Linked DNA regions of Alligator mississippiensis. The protein of the gene in region 1 interacts with the protein of each later gene in a biochemical or structural test. Links are inferred from orthologs where the notes say so. Each region holds a gene or a part of one and is shown in the gene's direction. Other genes may lie near its edges. The genes, in order: PRKCA, MGMT and HMGA1.

Region 1 (8,013 bases):
AACCAAGATGGTGTCTATAAAATATGTCATTAATTTGGAGCCCAGGTGACTTACAGATCAGGGAGAGAAACTTGAATCCCAAGTGTTTCAGATGGCAGATTCTAAGGATCCAAAAGATCCAGCACGCTCATCGCCTGATGAATGGTCCAGATGCCAAATCAGACTATACTGTCGTGGGAGAAAACTCCCTAGTGTCCGTTGTTTAGCTGGCATAGGGACCAGATAACGCGGGTGAAGGGTTAACTGCAGTTTATTTACTCGAGTAAAGACTATAAACCAGCAAAGAGGCAAAATGGCCCTGACTTAAGGGTGGGGCTGTTTTTTATACATTTTCTAATAAAGAAAACTACAAGGTTATTGAATATGCAATACTTATGGTAATTATCTCCTTACATGGTGCATTACAAATCTTAGTACTTTTCCAAAAGAAAAAAGTTAGTGTTATCTTACACATTCTAATCTGTTTTCCTGTACTCCACTGTACCATCTTCTTCCCTCTGGGCCCCCCTTATCTTATTTCACTCCTAGCTGCAGCTGGTACTCAGTACACAGACTTAATTTCTGCTTTTTTCTAACAAAATGGTTAAGGCACTTGACATAAGAAAATGGCTGGCTTAGCTATCATTTTGTCTTGTGGTTAGCAACATTGCTAGGCCACAGGTCATGCCTTGTGTTTAGCTACAAAGCTAATACTATTTAATAATTTAAATTATTGTTAACTTAACAGTATGCTACAGAAAACTATTTTAATTTTAGGGTAAAATCAAACTTGCTCATCACAATATGGACTATGTGGAAACTTGACAATCCCAAACTGAAAAGGTCACACCTTTCCCAAATAAGAACCATAACAGAAAGAAGGGTATGAGTCCTAAGAGGGATAAACTTTGGAAGATGTCTGATAAAATATCCATCCAAAAAATGAAGTGGTATATCAGGTTTCAGGATTAAATCAAAAGTTATCCATAAGGACCATCTGAAGAAGTATCAGAGCAGCAGTTTTCAAATTGTGGGGCACACACAACCCTCCTTGGGGGGTGAAGGAATGTTACGGGGACACAGACAAGAAGTTTGCAAGGAGTTGGTGCTGCTGCAGCCTCGCGGCGGGGTACGGGGATGGGGAGCTCCAGGCAGGCTCTACCAGCACGCAGTTGTGCCTCTGGGAGCCTGGCATGGCAGGCTCACAGCCTAGAGCTGCAGCAGGGCCAAGGGCAGGAGGTGCCGGAGCCACGGTGGGTGGAACCTGCCCCGCCGAGCCGTGCTGAGCTGCGACGGCTACTAGGATGAGGGGCGCTCTGTGCCTGGCTGCGCTGCTCCTCTGGGGTAAAGGGGGGGAGGAGGGGGAAGGGTGCAAGCAAAATTGTAATTCAAAGCGGGGCTCAGCTCAAAACATCTGAGAACCGTTGTATCAGAGGGTCAACATTTCAGCCTGGCTACTCTAAGCCGCTGCAAATTTAGTTGTGGAATTTGAGACTGGAAGGATTGTGACAGACGTGGTTGCTCCAGTATAAAAAATGTGCAGGCTGTGACAACCAGGCAATTTCACAGAAAAAAATTGCTTAATTCCATGGGGTTCGTTGAAAATGGTCTGTCCTGAACAGTTGCAAGGAAACTGGAATTTCCCTCTTCCTGCCCAAAGAGGTTGGATAGAATTAAAATCAGTTTGGGTTGTGATAGGAAAGTATCCGGATAGTTCAGTTGATATCATTTGTAATTGGTAAATTCTTTCTTTTTTTTTTTTACAGGACATCGTTTTGGAGCCTTCAAGAGGATGGGCAGAGCTAAGGGAGAGGGTGGTGTTATTCTGGGACTTAGGTGAATTCTCCTTGAAATCACCCTTCGTTCTGGATGAATGTCTGAAAACAATTCATTTCTCATGGAATGAGATAACTGAAACAACAGGAGGAAACAACTTTCAGAATAAAATACAAACTGTATGTAATGTTTGTTTCCGCATCCACGTGGCCATGGACGTTTGTTTCCCCGGGGACAAGCAGCAGCAGCACACCTTGTGCCACTGCTAGTTGCCCCTGGGGAACACCTATGCAGGAGAGACTGGGGGACACCTATGCTCTGGGCTGGCCCCAGCAGCCATACCTGGGATCCTAGGGGCCTCCTGGGGCTGCAGAAGCAGCGATTCTGGTGCTCAGAGCCTGGCTGGCAGTGGAGTGTGGCTCTAGCCAGCCAGGCTCCAGTTTCAGGTGGCATGTGCTGTCCTTGCATGTGCCACCCCACTTTTTCTTGCACCCCCTGTGCTGCTACCTTGCAGCAGCGCTGAGAACATCTGAACGTGCCGTACTTGGTGCCTGCAGCACCACATCGACCACATGGCCGTGCCCGTCTGGGTGCAGCCATGATCTTTATGGGAATTATGAATGTACCAAATGCAAATTGCACATTCAGTGAAGGAGCATGAGGAAAAGGACCATCACGTACAGAGGCAGGAAAGCCAGATGGGAACCTGTGGGTCTAGCTGCCCTTTGTGACCCAGCCCCTATGACAGGCCACAAGTCTTTGCCCCTTGGAGCAGCCAGCCTTCTGCATTTACCCTCTCCTCTGATCCCCACCTGCCTCTGCAATGAGAGAAGCAGAAGGGTCAACAGAGGAGTGAACGCTACAGGGGTAATAGGTGGCCAAATAAAATCCCCAGTGTCAGACTGGACCTCTTTGCAGGCCAAATCCAACCCACAGGCCATAGGATAGCAACTCCTCTCACTGAGTAATTTTTAAATACATTTGAATATGTGAAGACATTCCTAAACAAAAGCTGTACTGGAGCTATACCGGAGGGGAGGGGGCGAAAGAACCTTTCAACGACTTTAATAAACCCAAAGCAAAAGCAGCAAACAAACCCATTATAAGAGGATGTTGCAATTTTCCTCAAAAATACAAATGCTACAAAGCCAGAAAGTATTAAGATAGGATTCTAATTGTGTTGTAAGTACAGAAGGGGGATAATAATCTGTAAATGCAGAACAATTACATTGGGGGCGGGGGTGTGGAGGGAGGGAAGAAGCAGTGAATTTAGCTGTGTATGGGCTGACTCTCTTGGGGCGATAGGCAGCCAGTGCGGGTCCCAGCTGTGGTAGCTGGGGCTGTAGATGCCAGGGGGTGGCCTGGTCTGTCCCGTAGGGCCCTGCTCCACATTCAAATTCAAACTGGGTAGAAACCAGCTCTGGAGTTGTCACACACTTCAAGAATTAACTCTGTAGCGGGTTGACTCTTTATAGTCGCAAACTCGTTATCATTGTGTCATAATTATGCCCCTCTACATTTATTGTGGGATTCACTGGTTAACTGTGTCACACACCTCAGGTGTGGCAGGGACCATACTAGGGAAGGATTATGTGCCCATGGTGGCCTGCAGCTGCCGGTGCCTGATGGGGAGTTGTGCGTGCCCTCAAGTGCTCTGTGTGTGTGTGTAGGGTGTGTGTGTGTGTAGGGGGTGGACGGTGCAGGATGTGCTGTGCACAGGCAGTGCTGAGAGGGGTGGCAGGTGTCCCACAGCGAGTTGTGCATGCCCCCAGGCACTGTGTGTGTGTGTGTGTGTGTGTGGGGGGGGGTGAGGTGCTGTACCCAGGCAGTGGCTGAGGGGGCTGTGCGTGTCCCCAAGTGCTGTGTGTGTGTAGGGGGGCAGTGGGGGTAAGCAGGGTGTCAGTGTGGGTGTATGTAAGGGGGTGGTGTGGGTGAGTTGTGCACAGATGGTGGCTGAGGGTGTTGCATGTGTCCCTGGGTGCTGTGTGTGTGTGTGTGTGTGTGTGTGTGTAGGGGGTGGTGCAGGATGTGCTGTACACAGGCAGTGGCTGAGTGGGGTTGCAGGTGTCGCACAGTGAGTTGTGTGTGCCCCCAGGTGCTGTGTATGTGTGTGTGGGTGTGGGGGAGGCAGTGCGGGGTGTACTGTACACAGGCATTGACTGAGGGGGGCTGTGGGTGTCCTGCAATGAGTTGTGTGTGTCCCCAAACACTGTGTGTGTGTGGGGGGGGGGAAGGGGCGCATGCAGGGTGTGCTGTACTCAGGCAGTGGCTAAAGGGGTTGTGTGTGCCCCCCCAGGCGGTGTGTGTGTGTGTAGGGGCGGTGTGGATGTGTGTAAGTGGTCAGTGTGGGTGTGTGTAGCAGGGGGTGGTGTGGGTGTGTGTAAGTGGTCAATGTGGGTGTGTGTAGGGGTGGTGTGGGTATGTAGGGGGGTGTGTGTGTAGGGGCGGTGTGGACGTGTGTAAGTGGTCAGTGTGGCTGTGTGTAGTGGGGGTGGTGTGGCTGTGTGTAGGGGCGGTGTGGACGTGTGTAAGTGGTCAATGTGGGTGTGTGTAGCGGGAGCGGTGTGGGTGTATGTAGGGGGTGTGGGTGTGTGTAAGTGGTCAATGTGGGTGTGTAGTGGGGGCAGTGCGGGTGTGTGTAGCGGGGGTGATGTGGGTGTGTGTGTGTAGGGGTGGTGCGGGTGTGTGTAGCAGGGGCAGTGCGGGTGTGTGTAGCGGGGGTGATGTGGGTGTGTGTGTGTAGGGGTGGTGTGGGTGTGTGTAGCAGGGGCAGTGCGGGTGTGTGTAGCGGGGGTGATGTGGGTGTGTGTGTGTAGGGGTGGTGCGGGTGTGTGTAGCAGGGGCGTGCGGGCGTGCTGTGCACAGGCGGTGGCTGAGGGGCTGTGTGTGTCCCCAAGCCCTGTGTGTGTGTGCATGTTGGGGTGGTGCAGGCGTGCAGCTGCACGTGCCCCCAGGAGAGGGTGTGTGTGTGTGTGTGGCTACGGGGCTGCGCATGCCCCTGGCGCTGTGCGTGTGTGGGTGTGCAGGGGCGGTGTGGGTGTGTAGGGGGGCTGTGCAAATGCTTGTCAGGGGTAGAGCGTGTGTGTGCAGGGGCAGTGCGGGTGCGCTGTGCACAGGCGGCGGCTGAGGGGGGTGTGTGTGTGTGTGTGTGTGTGTGTGTGTGTGAGTGCGCGGGGCGGGGCGAGTGACGAGCGGCGGCAGGTGCCCGCCCCGTTGGGCTGTGCCGTGCCGTGCCGTGCCGGGCCGGGCCGTGCCGTGCCGGGCGGGGCGGGGATCCCGCGGCTCCTCCCGGGAGGCGGTGGAGCTAGCGAGCGGCTCGGCGCGGCTCGGCGCGGCGCGGAGGGAAGGGAAGGGAAGGGAAGGGAAGGCAGCGCCCAGCCGAGCGCAGCGCTGCGCTGCGGGAGGGCGGCGGCGGCGGCGGTGCGGCGCGGTGCTGTGCGGCGGTGCGGGGCGGCGATGGCCGACGTGTTCGCGGGCGCGGACCCGGCGGCGCCGCGCTTCGCCCGCAAGGGCGCCCTGCGCCAGAAGAACGTGCACGAGGTGAAGGAGCACAAGTTCACCGCGCGCTTCTTCAAGCAGCCCACCTTCTGCAGCCACTGCACCGACTTCATCTGGTGAGAGACACGCCGCCGCCGCCCGCGGAGGGAGGGAGGGAGGGCGGGGGTAAAAAGTTCGCCCGCAGCTGCTGGGAGCGGGCGGCGGAGGGACGCCCTTCCCACAGAGCAGGGGCTGGGTGTGCAAGCCCTGCTCCCTCGCCCAGAGTGGGGCGAGCGTGCAAGCCACACTCCTTGGCATCCCGTGGGGCGAGTGGGTGTGCACACCTGTGTAGCACAAGTTCGTGTCCACAACAGAAAGGGAAGAAAAACTCAACTTATTTGCTGAGGGAGAAAGACTGGCTTGCTGTGTACACACTTCTGGGAAGCGGTGTGCCCCGCTCACGTCCTTTTTGTTCGGGGAGAGCGACCTGCCTCCTCTCAGGGGAGGCTGCTTCCCTCCGCACGGCCTACTCCACGGTCTTTCCTTTCCCTCTTTGCTGTAACCCGTGCTCCGAGGGAAAGACCCGCTTTGAGCCCGCTAGCACGCACAAAAGACGTGTGGGAGGGGGAAGGCGTCCAACCGAAGACCTAGGGTCAGGGAGAAACTGCTGAAACGCACTGCAGAGCGAGGTAGAAAAAGGAAAAAAAAAAAAAGATCTGGCTTGTCAATCTGTGACCGCTCAATTGCAAAACTAAATTGAATCAAAGTAAGGGAATTAAACCCCCCCCCCAAAATCCAACCCCGCAAACCTGCTTTAAAATTAATCCAAAAAGAGTTGGCAGGTGTGAAAGAAACGCTACAAGATTATTGTCGCCTGTGTTTGTACAGATAAATAATGCAGGTCTCTCTCTCTCTCTCTCTCTCTTTTTGTTTCTTAAACGCTGTCATGATAAAAGGTACCTGATTACAGGATGCATTTGGTAGTGGAAGGATATCCTGTCACTGGCAGGTGGCAAGCGTAATTGTACTCTGTTGACTTGTCAGTCCCCGCTAGGAAACCAAGGAAGCTCTTAAATATTTTTAACGCAGCATGCAACAGTATCGGTACACTTGTTTTTTGGCTGATTTAAAGTGAGGTGAAGTATTGATACTTTAACGCACGCAGCACAGCGAATGTGGCATATGCAGAAATACGTGAAGGCACACAAAACTACTGCACGGCCTCGGGGAAGGGGGTGCCCAGGGCCTTGCTCTTCGGCATGGGCAAGGGACGGGCTGCACTGGCTCGTTCCCGTCCTCCGGGCCATGGCATCCCATGGGCAGGGGGCAAATGAGCCACACCACTGCCCCTGCCCATGGTGGTGCCTCAAGGACCTGGCTGGGGAAAGGGCTTCCAGCTTCACAGCCCCCAGCCCATGCCGAGCTCCTCCTGAGCAGCTGCTGGAGGCAGGGATGGGCGGGCAGGGTGGCGCTCCCCTGACCGGGCACCCTGCGCAGTTGCCTGCGTCGCCCACCCGTGAGGCTGGCTCGGTCACAGGGTACACGCAGAAGTATTTGAGGGCACACCTGACTGTTGAATGAGCTTTCACAGAACTATTTCCTAAAGAACAGCAGAGATTAAAATGGAGTTGATGACTATTTCAGATAATTTGAGTGTGTCAAGTACAATCATTATCATTTTTTTAATGGAATAATGTCCTTATCCTTTTTTTTTTTTCTTTTCTAATTTGCCACTTAAGAATCCAGCCAAGTAACCAATTGTTTTTTTTAGAGTTGCAAATTGATGGAATTTTTTTCTAACAAACAGTTTTCTTGTGTGCATGTGAAACTCAAAGTTAAAAAAGAACATGTATACTTTCGACTGCATAAAACTGACTGAACTATGAGCCATCACCTTTCAGCCCAAACCCTAAGGAAGATCAGAGTATCTGATCACAGTTGTGTAGAAATAGTCACTTAAGAAAAAAAAAAAGGAAAAAAAAGAAGCTAAAGATAGTTTCAGGTTCTTAGTCCTATTAGTCAGTTTTTGGTTTTTTATTTGTATATTGTTAAAAGATAACTTTCACTTCCGTCTTGTAGAGTGATTTACCCAAACAGGGAAATTACCTGTACACAAAATACAGGCAAAGTAGACAAAAACAAATAAAGTTATCATCCTGTTTGAATTCCTTAATCCTAGACATCTCATGTAACAGCGGTAGGTAAACGCATTCAGGTAGCAGTGGGATGGCTTTTGTAAAGTGAGTGTCTCTGTAAGATCAACACTCAGTTCACTATTCAGTTTGAAATAACTTTTTATGAAAGGTTACATGGAGTTTTAAATTATTAACTTCTCAAAATCAATTTAACATTTAGGTATGAAGAAAATGTTGTTATTTTTTTAGCTGTAATTTTTTACAACTGAACATCCTCCTTATTGTGGCTAAAGAGGCCTATGCAGCTTACCATCTTTTGCTGTATGTTGGTCTTTGGTTTTGATGAGTTCTCTCTCTCTCTCACCATGATCCCTCTCAGCTACGTGACAAATGGAAAATGTTTTGAAAAAAACAGAATACTTGTAAACTCTCATAAATGAGAAACTTGAAACATTTATTTGTGTTGGCAGAGAGCAATTAATGTCAAAATCCAACATGAAGAATCAAGGTAGTGTTTTGCCTTGACTGTAAAACATTATGTATTTATACATACTTGTACATATGTACTTAAGCATGTACATAGTACAACAAAAGAATTGAGATGTTATATAGTTATAATTTATGGGAATCATTCAAGAAACCAGGA
Region 2 (6,942 bases), on another chromosome or scaffold:
CCTCCCCCCACCCCCCAAGGTGAAGGACTCCAATCCACCTGTCTCACTCTAGCAGGGCTGAGAAAAACCCAGAAGGGACCTCCCTCCCCCACCTTCTCACAATCCCATTCAGAGACAGCAGCTTGGCTGGGCTGCTGTTGCAGCTGGAGCAGACAAATTAATGAAGTTGGTCTGCTTAGGAATATCTTCATTTGAACCCTCATACAATGAGGGTTAATTTTTTGTACCATCAGCAGGCTCTGCAGCTATGCTTTTCTGTTTGGGTGCAGCTTTAGAGCACTTTCAAGGGACCTATCGTGGGATGCACGTAATTTCTGTCTGCACCCCAAGTGACTATTAACAGTTTACCGTGGTCAATGCTATTAAGAGTTCTTTCCCAGTTTCAATCAGGGTAAACTTAATAGCTAGGGCAGCTAGTGTAGCTGCTAGTCCCTACCACTCCTTTGTCCGCTTGGTAGACCTCTTAGGGAAGGGTGCTAACAGAGGGACTCCCTGCTCTATCATAGAGCAAATTGAAATGGAGCTCTACTACTTAGCCCACACTGGGAAGGGAGACTCATGCACGGATCTTCCCTGGGCCTCTACCACCTATGACAGCTTAAGTGCTGGGTGAGGACCCATGCCAGAGGTCACCAGTGTTCCCTGCTCCTGTTCTGCTAGGGGTTGCCACTTCTCTTCAAGTAACTTAGCTACCCCAGCTCTTCTAGACCCTGAACTACACAGTAGCAGGCTCAAGGATTTCAGCTCTTTTAGAAAAACTAGGGGGTAACAGGTCCCAACCTGTAGCATTTAGGTACTTGTAGCCAGAGGTACTTCTGATTTTAAGGTTTGATAATAGACCATGGCCCAAGACCAGAAGCTGCCAGGTTTAATGCAACCTCCCATCTGAAGCCTCAGGGCTTTCTGATATTCCAAACCCATTTCACCAAAATAGTGCTCGCATGAATGAAGCTCTTTTAATCTTATTTAACTATTTATATTAGTTCTTATTCAACCTGGAGACCACTTAAGCCTTTTTTTTAAACTTGATTTGTTTGCAAATGGCAGCTAACAGCAGAAATTAGTTTGGATATCTGGACCTTTTGACCTGTGGATTAATGTAGCGATGATTCTTCAACCAAAATGTAACTATGCTCTCCCTCTTAAGGGGGACAGAAAACAAAACATGCCTATGGCAAATATTTTCATTCAAGACTTTTTATTCACAACCCGGGGGGTTAAAAGCAGACAAAGTCAGGACCAGACAAGGCCCAAAATAGAGCCAAGAAGTCTGAGAGAGACAAGGACAAAGGCAGGCAAACTATTAGCAGGGGAGGGGGCAGGAGTCAGGAATAGAAAAGCAAGGATTCAGATCAGCCTCACTAGCCAGGGGGTCCCAAGCAGGCAGTTGTAGCTAAAAGGGACCAGGACATTGGTGACTACCAAACTAACACTATAAGACAAGAGCCAGCTGTCAGAAGACAGGGGAGTTTAGACTAGAGTTGGGAACAAGGAGAGGTCATGAAGCAGCAAGTCTGAAAAAAAGGAGTCCCGGTTAGAGCCATGAGATCCAAGACCTGGACTCAAGTCAGGAACAAGAGCAGGATCCAAAATGGGAACAAAAAATGAGGAACTAGATTCTAACAAGTGAAGAACCAGGGAACTAGAAGCTGAAAGCTCAGGCTAGACACAGACTTTTCTGTCCTGCTGAATAGCTGCTCTGACACTGGAATTGGGCATGGGTGGGAAGGGTGTTCATGGAGACCCCAGCAGCAGCCAGGCTCTGAGAGCACGGGGCTGGGGTTTCCATGTGGATCGGCCCCAGCAGTGCTGGCAGGGCATGCAGCAGGGTGCAAAGCTGCTCCAACCAGGCTGGGATCTTGCAGTGGTGATGGCATGGTCCAGAATCACAATCTGCAGCCTGCATACACTGGGCAGGAGCATGCAGGCAGTGGATTACAGCATAGTTCCGAGCCAGGACAAAGTCGTGATCTGCTGCTTGCACGTCCCTGCCTGCGGCATGCAGGCTGCAAATTGTGGCTCTGCCTCACCTCCAGACCATGCTGTCACCACCACAAGACCCCAGCCCAGTCCTGGAGCAGCTCCCTGCCCTGCTGCATGCCCTGCTAGCAGGGGCGGCACTAGGGGGAGCTTGGGTGGGGGCTATAGCCACACCAAAATTCCTAGTCCCTGGCTGGGCGCAGGGATTATTTTGGGCTTGAAGTGGGTTCGGCTTGTTTTTAAAGGCAGTGCCACTATTTTTTCTAGTGAGACTTGGCAACATTGGCACTCAGGTAGTTAGGCCCAGCTGGGGCTAACCATCCTGCCTGCTGTCCTGACTCCTGACACTTTTTTAAGTGGATCGAAAACTGAGGAGCCAAAGAACAAAGAGTTGAGTTAGGCATGGAGTTCAAAAAGTCTGCTTCTCAGAAAATAAGTGCTGGGAATTCCTTGAAGTCAAAACACAAAAGTGATCTGGTTATCTGTTACCAGATTTTAAATCTGATGCCTTTATGGTTACGATGCTCGATCACAAAAGGGAAAGACATTTTTGTCCGGGTCTCCCTCATTAGTCAATTCTTCACTTGTCTGACAGTCTCATGATTACACTCCAGAATCTCCCAAATGTATATAAAGAGCTTTAAAATGAATTCTAATAATTTGGGGTTTTGCTTTTTTGGTAAATTTTAGTAACTCCTCTTCACTGCTCCTCATGGTTTATTAACTCATCTAAGCCTCACCCTACCTTTTTCAGCATCACCAACTCTGCAACTCACTCCATGTCTTCTCTAACACAACTTTCGCTACTCAAACCACTTCCTTTGGCAATTCCCCAGTTATAGACTTCCTCAGCTTGTCTGTGTTCATCCCCGTCTTTACGACTCTACAAATGAAAAAAATGAAGCTGGATCTTCTTGACTGGATCCTACAAAACTCTGATGATCAAAACTGGGCTCTGCCCCAACTTGCTACAGTATCAGCCTTTAAAGTATCAGAAATCTTTAGATGTTAACTTTTAAGGAAATTTTTTCACGTCCAAGTCAAACTAGCCAAATCCATTCCAAATCTGTGACGCGTTCAAGAACCAAACATGGCTCTACAACCGACAAACACCCTCCACACCCACCCGGTGCTTCCAAATCATTAGCTGGGCATCCCGCTTGCAGGCCCGAGCCTGGAAGCTTGCGGTTCAGATGCCCTCGAGTTGGGCTTGCCCTTGGCCACATGGAGCAAGCTAAGGAGCAGTCTCCCATTTCCATCAAGGTGTCACATAGCCCAGATCCTCCCCCACCTGAGCAGGAAGCTTACTACGAGGCTGTCGGAGGGAGTCTTGTTCGCAAGCAGACAAGGCTGCGCCCCTCCATGACCCAGTGCCGTTTTCACTGCATAACCTCGGGCAGGGTCCTTCCCCCGCCATCTTCGTGGCACGGGCATTTCCCCTGCCAGCAATCTCTGGGTATTTTCTTATAACCAGCAGGCGGCCGGGTGCTGGTGGCGCTTCTGCCTGGCACTTGCATAGCCTGCGGCGTGGGCGCAACCAGGGGCAAGAGGCAAACCACATCAGTCTTCCCTGCCTATGCAATGGGAACACTGCCCTGCCCCTCCCTGCCAGGCCCGTGAGGATCACACCGGCTTCCCCCAGGAGCTTGGAGCCAGGCCCAGGCGGGCTTTTCTGCATCAAAGCAACTACCCCCCTCCCCAGGACAACAGCGCCTTCTTTCCTTCCCTTCAGGGCTGTACAACCGCCCGCGGGCACGGCCACATCCCGCGCGCCGCACTGAGCCCGGGCAGGGCCGGCTCCAGCCCCTGCTGCGCCTGCGCGGGCTGCTGGTCCAACCCCGCGCGCAGGCGGAAGCGGGGGGGCTGCCGCGCTCCGCTTCCTCCCGGCGGGGCGGGGCGGGGCGGGGCGGAGCGCGCTGGAGCCCGCCCGGGAGGTCTGAGCCCTCAGCGCCGAGCCGCGACGAGGAGGAGGAGGTGGGGCTGCACCATGACCCATAGTCGTGAACCCAGACGGCCGGTGCCGACCCCTCCGTGTGTGAGGCACAGGGAGGGCCCCAAGCAGCCCCTGGCAGACAGGGTTCCCCACGTTTTTTCTCCTTGAAAACAGGAGCCCTTTTTTTTCAAGTGGGCTGACATCTCCCCATCCCCCCTTTTTTAAAATTAATTTTTATTATTATTTCTTTTTTTTTAAGTTTGCTTGCGACCCGTTAGTATATTCTTGAAAGCGCACCCCTCGCTGCCAGAGGGCATCACTTCTACTCCCCAAGGCCTAAGTGCCGCGCTCCTCGGTGTGCAGAGAAAGGTGCCCCCAAAACATCCGGAGCTGCAGGCTCAGGGCAATTTCCCTGCCCCCAGGCAGCTCCTCCTACAATGGGGGTTGGCAAGGTTTTTGGGCAGTGCCCCAAAACACCTGCAGCCTCTGTTCCTAAGATGCTGGTGTGCCAGGGGCAGGCAGGGGAGGGGCCCGATGCTTGTTGTGGCAGCACAACCCTGGCCCCTTCTCTGCCGTCTGCCCCATGCAAAATGTCACGTACCAGGCTCTGGCACCCGTACCCTGTCTTACAAGATGAGAGCGGCAGTGCCGGCCCCTTTGCAGCCGATTGTATCAGCAGGCATGTGGAGCTGGATCTGCGTGAGGGAGCAGAGTCTTCTTGTAGAGCTCAGTTGTTTTCTGCAGTATCAACTTGATTATTTTTTTCCCTGAGGTGACCTCCCCACCCCCTGCCCAGGGTGTTATTAATGGGACGACGTGGCCTAGGCACAGGCAGCCTCTCCAGAACATACAAGCTGCTCTGTACTGGGTCAGGCCCCAGGTGCATCTTGCCTGTGGCTGAGAGTGGATGCTGTGTGGCATGTGGCAGAGGAGGGAAGGAGCAGGCAGCACTGCAGCAGATAAGTGTAGGAAGCAAAAATCAGAGAAGCAGATCAGGCAGGAAGCAGAGGGGCGGTGCTAGAGTAGCCCTCAAGGGATGTTGTGTGACTAATTTGTGGCATGCTGGCCTGCACCCCTGTAGGATCTAAGATGCTGTGGAGAGACCATATTTTTAGTCTTCTTTCTTGTCATGTCTCCAGGCCATCCTTTCTATATGGTCTGCTCCTAATATTCTGCACAGGCAACTGCTTCTGGTGGTCTTGTTGCCAAATCTTGTGGGATGCATTGTGGTGCTACAGGGCATTTCAGGAGTTGATTCACGGTTTGCTTTTCCTGAGAAACACACTGGCTGGCTGTGTAGAGGCCCAATGATTTCATGAGAAAGTTGTATTTGCTGAGACCCGCTTTTAGTCTGTTCAGGCTCTGCCACATGTGCCATTTGTAGTGGGAGCTGGACGCTAACTCCTTCATTACTGGCTCCATTCAACAGCTTAGTTTCCTAGTTTCTCCCGTTCTTTTTGCCAGAGGGTAGATCTGGCTGGTTCCGATGACGTCATGAATGGTATGGAACAGGACAAAAAGCTATTTCTCGATGAGAGGGGGGTGTGCTGGTTGATGCCCATATAGCAGGTGGCAGTTGTCTGACTTGTACTGCCAGTCAGTGTCATCCGCTGCTTTCCTCCTGGTGTAAGGGGGCACTATGCCAGATAGTGCATATAGGCAGGTTACAGGGGTGAGTTTTATGAAGCCTGTTATAATTCTGCATGTATCATTAAGGGTGGAATCAGTATGTTTACTGTGTTTACATATGTTTTTAGTGTTATCAAGTGACTCCTTAAGGCTTCTACTGAAACAATAAAAGCAAAAGAAAAAGCTAGCCCCTACAAACACCTTGCGTCTATTTCTGTCATACATGTATGTGTCCCCAAAAAGGGAGAGAAAAGGGAGGCACTTGCATTCCAGATCTCTTCATTTGCTGAAACTGGGCTGCAAGACTGAATAATCAAGTACAGTTCCAATGTAAGAGAGAAAGTAAGGAGAATGTAAAATAAAGATTAAGTGGTATATTGCTTCTTGCTTAAAAAAATAAATAAAAGCTCATGGTACAATATGGCGAAATATCACAATTATGTCCAGAAGTTCTAAAAATTGGAAAAAGCAAATATAGATAAAGAAGCTACTTTGCTACTCCAACTGTTCAGGAAGTAAATGACAGTATAGCTATTGCTAATTGTTTAATTATTGATGTTTAATACTTTTATTATCTTAAAAAGTGATTATATGCATTGTTTTAGTTTTTCAGATTTTCAAAGCAGCATATAACTAGCCTTGCTTCAATTTAATGTTTATTATCCTTTTACAAGTAATGAAATGAAGTATAATGTAAATAAGTAACTTTTTCGAGGTAGCACGAGTGCCAAAGTTGACTATTCTTGAGTCTCCATTGTCCATTAAGCAAAAAAAAAAAAAGTGTGTGTGTGGTGGGGAGGGGGGATAAGAGGACTGGAAATGCTGCAGTACGTCACCTGGAATCGTTTATCTTAATAGCAAGGGATAGCCCCATTGTAGAAATGATTAAGGTTTTGGCCTGCAAACCCTTGGAAATCCACTGGGGACTGGAAATCCAGTAGGACTGGCTGCAGAGAGAGTCTTTGCTTCTGAACTGTCTTTGTGGCCTTTGGTCTTCCCTTTTTGCATAGAAATGTAACTTCAGTTGAGCCACAATACACACACTCCAATTGATGCCTTTGTGCATTAAAATTCCATCTTGCTTATTCAGGGGGTGCTACTCAGCTGAGTAAAAATTAACTGTGATATGGAATTTCTATGGAGGGTTGATAAGTTGGAAGTGCTTCTACCAGCCCTGCCTTTCTTTCTGTTTATGAATGCCAGTCCCAAGGCCTCTGGTGGAAATGGTGGAATAAGTGGGCAGAGTTGACATAAATCCACCTGTGCCTCCTGTTCTGCAGAATGAGACCTATAGGGATTTTATGAGGTGGATATGGGACAGTTTAGGTTTGGTTCCTACTCCTGTGTTCACTGCATGAGACTAGCTTCTCAAATTCAGTTGATCAGTGTAGTAGTTAATT
Region 3 (7,973 bases), on another chromosome or scaffold:
GTAAAGAGGGGAAAAAAAATTACTAGAGTGCAGACAGACCTTTTCATCTTGACCTGGAGTGTTTATTCAACTTGAAACTCACACCCTACATTATTCCTAATAGCTTTTCCAGATAGACCACCCCTTTGGAGGAGACTTTTTGCAAGCAATCAGCTGTAGCTGAGGCTAAAAAACTGTTTGGGAACAGATTTATTTTGACAGTCTTGTCTGGGGGCTGAAGGGGCTCGTTGTTTTGGTGAGATCTGCCTTTCACTGCTCACAGGTTTCATTTCCCAGCTGCTTGCTGATGCTTCCTGAATTGGACCTGTTCTGGTATCTGCCAACTAGGAGGTGGGATTATTCCAAATGCTGATGGCAAACAACTTACCTTCTGAAAGAGCTGGCATTTTAAACCTTGTGAGCAATAAGGGGGAGGAACATTGAGCCTTTAACCTCCGAGGTTGAGCTTGGGGATTTGATTCTGCACACATCTCAATGTAAGGGCTTGCCGGATTGAGTCCCAGGCCAGTATGGAGGAGGGGGGGGGGGGGGCTACAATGGTTTTAAACACTGTTTCTTCAGTGACTGAGCTGTTGGGTTGGAGGCTGTGGCACGAAAGATGCCTGACAGCGGTTATTAGTTGGGCAGCCTCAGTCTTAAGGAGTGAGCAGTAGGGTCCAAGCCCCCTTTCTGTTTCTGCAGCTGCTGGGAAGTGGGGCAAGACAGCAGCCCTTTGGCATGTCTGTGTGTGTTCATGCATGGATGCATGCCCTGCTGGTTTGGGGTCGTTGATGATACTCTGACATAAACCATCCTCTGGTCTAGCTCTGGGCTGAATGCAGGCATGCCTGGATGCAGTCCAACAGCCCATGTTAGGCAGAAGGTCAGTTCTCAACCCCATGAGACAGGACCCCCTCAGGAAACCCTTTTTCAATACAGAAAGAGACTAGTCTTCTGTTTGCAAAGGACTCAGGGAGACCACAACAGAGCAGAGCGGTTTTAAACACTTAAGCATCCCTGCTTGAGGTCTCTGGGCATATCTGCTCTACCACGTTTGCCCACCCCAAAGCACTCTTGAAAGGATCCCAAGGCACCTCAGAGAGCTACTGCACCCCGGTTGAGAATCACTAAGCTAAATAGCTGGCCTCTTTTTGGCTTAATCTATAAAAACGTATGCGTGATAGTACATTAAAGCTTCCAACTTCTGGCGCACAGAGGGCCTGCTGGGCATCTTTGTGAAATCAAGGCCATGGGTCAAACCAAAGGTGCATGGGATGGTCAAAGTTATGGACTGCCTGAGCTTCTTTGGCCCCATCAGCTGGCACCTCAACGAGATGAAAAGAAGTTTTAAGACGTGGGCATAGCGGGCCCGATCTTGCTCTTGGTTGGCGCTGGAGTCACTGCTGGCTTCGGTCGTGTGAAATAACGGTGATAACAGCAGGCCACAAATCCGGCAATCTGGTGTCAGCTCCCCGCTGTCCTGCAAACTCCTACCTGGTGCCAGGGGGATAGAAAGCAGCTTCTTGGTGGAGCCTTGCTCTGACCAGGTCCACGATGACCATCCTTGGAGAGGGCACCGGGAATTGTGCGCGAGCTGCGGCAAAGTGGCATTTTTCAGTCAGCTGAGAAAAGCTGGGGGCAGAGTAGGATTTTAGGAACAGGAGGCCTCACTGGCTGCAGGATTAGGACAGGCAGGTTTTTACTCGACAGGCGTGGCCTGTTCCTGTTAGACCCCTCTCTCTTCCTAGCTTCTGGCAGAATCCACTGAAAAAATAGGAAAGGCTACTGCAGGGTGCAGTTTGCTGTCCACACATTGAAGATCCAGCTGTGGACAGTCCACAGGGTGCAGAGATTTGGGGTAACAGAGGTAGTTGAACCAGAAAATATTATCACTGTAGCTGGGTGGGGTTTTACTGGGAGTCGTGCAAGCAGAGTGAGAAGTTGGCCTTGAGGTTAAGGCCCCTTCTGGGCTCTCTGCATACCCTTGGACGCGTCACCTCTTCCATCTGTGCCTCTGCTTGCCCAGCAGTAGAGCGGCTTGGTTAAAACTACTTGGCTTGTCCTGTCGACTGCCCTCTGCGGGGGATGAACTCACTTCCTGTGGCTTTTGTACAGCACCTAGCAGAGCAGGGCCCTGATCTCAGCAATACGAGTATTATAAAGCAATGGGACCGCAGCACAGAAGCAATGCAGAGAAAGCATGGCCGAGACAGGAAAGGATGCACCGCCCAACACGTGGGTCGACACGTGGAGCAGGGTCCCCCCCAGAAGATAGGCCTGGTAGATAAAGATGCCCTTTACAGTCCTACCTGCCACAGCAAGATTGTTCTCCATGGCACATACGCTTAGAGCTCCACGTGGTGCAGTTGCATCCTTCCCTCCCTTCACCAGAGCTGCACAAAACCGCCCTCAGCCCAAAGCACTGGACAGTACATTAAATCACATATTCCCCCATCTCCCAGTTGGGAGACCACATGCTCCCAACACCGCTTCACCACACCTGAGCCCTCCTCAGCTAGGCAACGTGGTACCCCGCTGCAGCCAGGTTTTCAAAAACACCCTCTATTACTGGGTACTTCAGAGCATCTATGCGGACTCGGTTAGAAAAAAAAGAGCCCAATTCCCCCAGAGGCTCGACCTCAAAATGCATGGAGTCGGAGGCCACTTCTGAAAACTGAGATTTGGGATAAGAGCCAGGTGTGCTTCACAGGGCTCCAGCTCAGACTGGAGCTCAGTGGGGTCCAGACAAGAGGACAGCCACTACGCTGACTCCATCACGGGTGCAAATCAACTAGGAGCAAATATAGGCTGCAAAGTTAGGAGGAGGTTTCTGAGCACCCAACGGTTGAGGCTGTGGAGCAGCTGTAGGAGTATCTAGGGCAAGACACAGCTCTCTTTCAGGGGCAGCAGCTCCATCAGCTCAGGAAAAGGCTTTAATAAGGTGGGTGCCCACGGACACAGGGGATGAACTCCAATCCCTTCCAGCCCCCCATTCCTGTGTGACCGTGGTGAGCTGCTCTCTCCTCTCATTAGCACATCAGACAACAAGAGATCAAAAGCCTTAAGTGTGGAGGAAACCCCAAAGCTCCTTGCACTGCTGCTCCAAATGCAACCACTTCATAATGCAATGCAACAGTGGAGGAAACGGGGTGAAAGCTGGGAGTGGACACCAAGAAGCTCCCTCCCAGGAGATCACACCGATTGGAGGGGCCTGGATCATGCTGTCCAGCGCGGGCGGGCGAGAGGGGACAACTAGGACAGGTCGACGCAGAGCTGGGGGAAAAGGAGCTGGACCATGACAATCCTGTGCATCACCAGGGATCCGGGTTTTGCATTTCCCACGGGAAAACAGAGAAAACCATGGATGGATTTCCTGATTTTAGCAGGGGGAAAAAAAATGGATGTTCCTCTTTTAGCAGAGAAACCTGCGGATTCCCTGCTTTTGCAAAGAGCTCTGCAGGCAAGCAGAGTTGCAGCCTGCAGGCTATTTGCAAAAAGAGCGGGAAAGCCCCAGGCCTGCCTGGAGGAGGAGGGAAGGAGGGGGGCAGGGCCTGAGGCTATCACTCCCCCCAGGCTTGGATCAGGCTCACTTCCCCTTCCTGGAGCCTGGGAAGTAAGTAGGGCTGGGGGCTGCCCCTGGCAGGGGCCCTAGGTGGTGGGTGGGGGTGACTGCCAGGGCTGGGGGAAGAGCCAGCAGGGCAGGGCATTGGTGTGTGGCTGCAGGAGCAAGGAGGTGTTGGGGGAAGCCCCCCATGGAGCACCCACCCATGCCACATGGCCCCAGAAAGGGGGGACCCATGCCCCCCAGATCTGTGTGCAAGGGGCAGAGCGGGTGCACGCTGCCCTCCCCCCCAACCTCTGCAGTGCAGCGTGTGTGACCCTGGACGGCAGGGCACAGCAGGGAGGTGCACGAAAGCTGCCTGCTGCTGCGAGCTCTGCGCTGCCTGGGCCACACCTCCCCTGTGTGCGCAGGAGCAGCGGTGAGGGGCACAACCGTGTGCTACTTCCCCTTGTGCACGCAGGGGAGGTGCGACCCAGGCAGCGCGGAGCTCGCAGCAGCAGGCAGCTTTCGTGCGCCTCCCCGCTGTGCCGTGCCGCACCAGGTTGCACACACTGCGCTGCGAAGGTTGCAGGGGAGGGCAGCAGGGTGGGAAGCACAAGTCTGCAGCGTGCACCCGCCTGCCCCCTACCCCCCTGCACACAGATCTGGAGGGCACGGCCCCCCCTTGACACCCGGGACTGCGCCGGAGCCAGCCCACAGCAGCAGTGGGGGAGCCGGCTCCTGCTGCAGCAGCCATTGCCTTCTGCACGGGGCTGGGGCCCTGGCTCCATAGCCCTGGCACCTGTCCCCCCAGCAGGCCTTTAATTTTAATAACGGAGTTTACAATTTTTTTAAGTCAGAGAATCTGCAATTTTTTTTATCAGAGAAAACCAGGATCCCTGGTGATGACTTGCTCTCCCCTCTCATTAGCACATCAGACAAAAAGAGGAGACCAAAAGCCTTCACAGTCTGAAGGAAACCCCAGACCTTGTCCTACTGCTCCAAGTGTAACTGCTCCATAAGGCAATGCAACAGTGGGGGAAAAGGGGTGCAAACTGAACGTACAAAGGAGGGGACACTTGAGCAGCCCCCTCCCAGGAGGTCATAGCCACTGGAGGGGCCTGGATAACACTGTCCAGCATGGGCAGGCTAGAGGGGACAACCAGGACAGGGTGACACAGGGCTGAGGGAAGGAGCTGAACTATGACAATCCTATTCAACACTCATTCACCAACTGGGCGTAGGACCCTCTATGACTCACTCTTGCCTTCCTTGGGCTTCAGCTCCCTCCCATCAGTGAAGCAGGGATGAGAGTCACCTACACAGCCCAGGTCACAGAGAAAGCATTATATCCATGTCACATAGAAAATGCGGCTGACTCACCCTCCTGTCTTCTCTCTTGCATGACCCAGAAGATAGAAAAATGAGTGAATCCAGTGCAAAATCCAGCCAACCCCTGGCTTCAAAACAGGAGAAGGATGTCTCCGAGAAGAGAGGACGGGGCCGGCCCAGGAAGAAGCCGCAGGTACAGAGAATTTTTTCCTTCCACCCTGCTCTAGAGACTAGGAGAGCTGGGTGCTGGACATCTACAGCGAGGAAAGGCATTTTCATGAGTTAAGTTCAGCCCTGGAAATACCTCTCTTCTTAACCCCCTCCGCATGGTCTGGAGGGTAGGGCACAGGGTTGGGATGTCAAGGCCCCCATATCTCTTCCCAGCTGTACCACTAACATACTCAGTAGCTGACCCCTAACCTACCCATTCCCACAAGCATCATGCTGCAGCTTTACACGCGATCGCACACAGTTCTGGAACAGGAGGTGCAGAGCTGCCTTTGTACAACATTGCAATTATGCTGCTTCCTATGCAAAGCTAGTGGATACAGAGCTAGCTCAGGGGTCTCTGCAGCATGCCTAGCAAAAAGGAAAAAAAAAAAAATCACTAGTATAGAGGGCAAAAAGAGCAATGCACCTTCCACACCTTGCTTGGCCTGCCAGGGCCACGGGGAAAAAGCAAGGCAGTGGGAAGAAGCATTAAGGCATAAACAAGGAACAAGGCAACTCCTTCCCCAAGGATGAGGAAACAGCCTAGGTTGCAGAGCCACTTACTGGTATTAAAGTCACAGTCTGACTCCCACATGTTGGGCTCAGCCTGGCAGAGGTGAACAGCACTCAGCTCTTCTTATGGATACAAACCACAGCTCTGTTTGCTGTACATGGACAGCAAGGACCTGTAGGACTTCTCCCAGGGAAAGAGCCTAGCAGAATTTCCCTACCAAAGCACTCCCTCCTGCTCAGCTGTTATAGCAGCAGCATCTGCCCCAGAAAGAGCCTATCCAGACCAGTAGCACTGTATTGAATTCATCAGTTACTTGGTCCTACAGGCATTTAATTCTGTCCTCACTGCCAGGCCCAAGGGGCTCAAAATGCTCCAGCTAAACACTGCCCCTGATCACAATCTGTGAGACCCTACAGCAGGAGCATTTATCAAGTGAATCCTACCAAACCCATCACTGGCTTAGCTGATCTAGGAGCCATAATGCAGACAGGGCTTCTGTGGGTGAGGTCCTTGTAGTCATGTCAATTAACCCTGCTGAAAAAGCAAATGCAACCAGTGCTGATGGAAGCAGCTGGGTGCTACTCAAGCTCCAGCCAGTTCTGCTGAAGCAGGGGGATTTTGCCTGGGTCTAAATTCCCCAAATACAAGCCCTGAGGCACAGGCTTGTGACTTCATCTCTGTTCTGCCCTGAAACAACCACTTGGGCCGCTCAAGCTGTAATATGGGGAAGGGACCCAGAGGGTTTCTCCCTATTGTGTGGAACGGCAGCAGCTAATTAGCATCCTACCTGCCCCTTCACTTGTGTTCAGGCGGGGATGATTGACTGACACCTTTCCTTTATAAAGCCCATATGTTGCAGGTGTTATTAAGAGACTTGCTGAGGGCTGGGCAGTGAATCAGTGGCCAGGCCCAAAGTGAAACCTGTTCCAGTAGCAGAGCCCTGCCCTGGGCAAGTGGCATCTCCCTGATGTGCTATTGCTGTAGCAATAGCTTAATTACCCTTAGCACAAAACAAGGGAAAGCTGACAGACCCAAAGCACGTATCATGGGAAAGCTGACGTACCCAGAGCATGTATCATGGGAAAGCTCAGAGCCTAGCTCTTATCTCTGTCAGTGGAGTTGCTCTGGATTTACACCAACCAGCCCAGGTCAGAAACTGACCCCTGGTATCTTTTAACCAACCTGAGCCAGCAACTCCCACCTCCTTCCTCTTCCGGCGGCAGGAATATTTGCCTGGCAGGGCTCAGATTGGTGGAAGGAGGCCATCACTCTGCAGGGCTGGGGGCAGGGCTGCCGGTGTTGGATTACTGGTTTTCTAATAGCCGCAGCTATAAACAGCAAGCGACGGGGTATTAGAAACTGTAGCTGCGATGCTCATATCTCCTAGTGGAATGCATAATTCACAACATTTTTATGAGTCTCCCAGCATTAGGGTTTCTTGACCCTGAAGCTGGGGTGATTGATTGCATTTTCTGCAGGGGAAGGGTTTTCTGATGTCTCCAAGATCATTCCCAGAGCTTTGCTTCTTCTGCTCCAAATCTGGGGTGGGGGGGAAGCATTTAGCTTCTTTTGGGCAAGCTGATCTCCTTCCCTCCCTCCACTCCCCTCCAGGTTAGGTCCCTCAATTCAGGTAGCCCCTATCTGATCCGTTCCCCTACCCACTCCAAAGCAGCAGCTGGTGCTTCCTGTCCATAGGTGAGTGGCTCACATTCAGACACATCTAATCTAAGCACCGGCCCAGCCTCACTGTCCGTCCGCTTTAAATTCTAAGGACCGGCCCTTTGAAACTACATGTCCCAGCATGCACGGCTGCAGTGCAAGTACCCTGCAGGTGCTGGCTGGACTCTGCCAGCCCCTCCCTGCAGCAGCTCCCTCTCCGACTGCAGTATCCCAAGGGATTTGGATGGAGCAGGGAGGATGGCTCTCCCGAGTGCATGCTTGCCATCACTTCTAATGACACTGAAGGAGTGGGGAGGCTATGCTCTTCAGTCTCCGTCACCAAGGGCCCGCCTGCTGCGTCTTGCTGGGAACCCCCCATTTCCGGGACAGCTGCTTTTGGGTGGGGAGCGCAGGGAGCTGGGATCTTGCTCTGCTTTGCAGCTTGGCTTTGCTCACTCCTGTCTCTCTTCTCTTTGCTTATCACCATAGATCCGGGCATCCGCTGACAGCCTTGCCCTTTCTCTTCAGCAGGAACCCAGCGAGGCCCCGACCCCCAAGAGACCACGTGGCAGACCAAAGGGGAGCAAAAACAAGGCCACTGCCAAAAGCAGGGTAGGTACCTGTGGGGGAAGAAGGGAAGAGGGAATCGCATGACCTTTCCCCATTTGCTGCCTCCAAGTTGCCATGGTTGCTTATTGATGCTGCTCCTTGGCAACCTGGGGCCTGCTGGTGTCTGGG

The links.
Region 2: of the proteins of PRKCA (region 1) and MGMT, one has a biochemical effect on the other in vitro, tested with the Homo sapiens proteins (2 studies listed by BioGRID). The link is inferred for Alligator mississippiensis from reciprocal best matches to the Homo sapiens genes PRKCA and MGMT.
Region 3: of the proteins of PRKCA (region 1) and HMGA1, one has a biochemical effect on the other in vitro, tested with the Homo sapiens proteins (2 studies listed by BioGRID). The link is inferred for Alligator mississippiensis from reciprocal best matches to the Homo sapiens genes PRKCA and HMGA1.

What each region holds. Positions count from the first base shown.
Region 1 is NC_081831.1:5,228,873-5,236,885, forward strand, and holds the start of PRKCA (protein kinase C alpha type), read left to right. Parts: upstream 1-4,943; 5' UTR 4,944-5,211; coding exon 5,212-5,369; intron 5,370-8,013. UniProt on the Homo sapiens protein: Calcium-activated, phospholipid- and diacylglycerol (DAG)-dependent serine/threonine-protein kinase that is involved in positive and negative regulation of cell proliferation, apoptosis, differentiation, migration and adhesion, tumorigenesis, cardiac hypertrophy, angiogenesis, platelet function and inflammation, by directly phosphorylating targets such as RAF1, BCL2, CSPG4, TNNT2/CTNT, or activating signaling cascade involving MAPK1/3 (ERK1/2) and RAP1GAP.
Region 2 is NC_081829.1:78,338,298-78,345,239, reverse strand, and holds the start of MGMT (methylated-DNA--protein-cysteine methyltransferase), read left to right. Parts: upstream 1-3,854; 5' UTR 3,855-3,954; intron 3,955-6,942. UniProt on the Homo sapiens protein: Involved in the cellular defense against the biological effects of O6-methylguanine (O6-MeG) and O4-methylthymine (O4-MeT) in DNA. Repairs the methylated nucleobase in DNA by stoichiometrically transferring the methyl group to a cysteine residue in the enzyme.
Region 3 is NC_081837.1:37,338,249-37,346,221, reverse strand, and holds the start of HMGA1 (high mobility group protein HMG-I/HMG-Y), read left to right. Parts: upstream 1-4,943; coding exon 4,944-5,045; exon of another isoform or gene 5,046-5,431; intron 5,432-5,626; exon of another isoform or gene 5,627-6,773; intron 6,774-7,724; coding exon 7,725-7,847; intron 7,848-7,973. UniProt on the Homo sapiens protein: HMG-I/Y bind preferentially to the minor groove of A+T rich regions in double-stranded DNA. It is suggested that these proteins could function in nucleosome phasing and in the 3'-end processing of mRNA transcripts.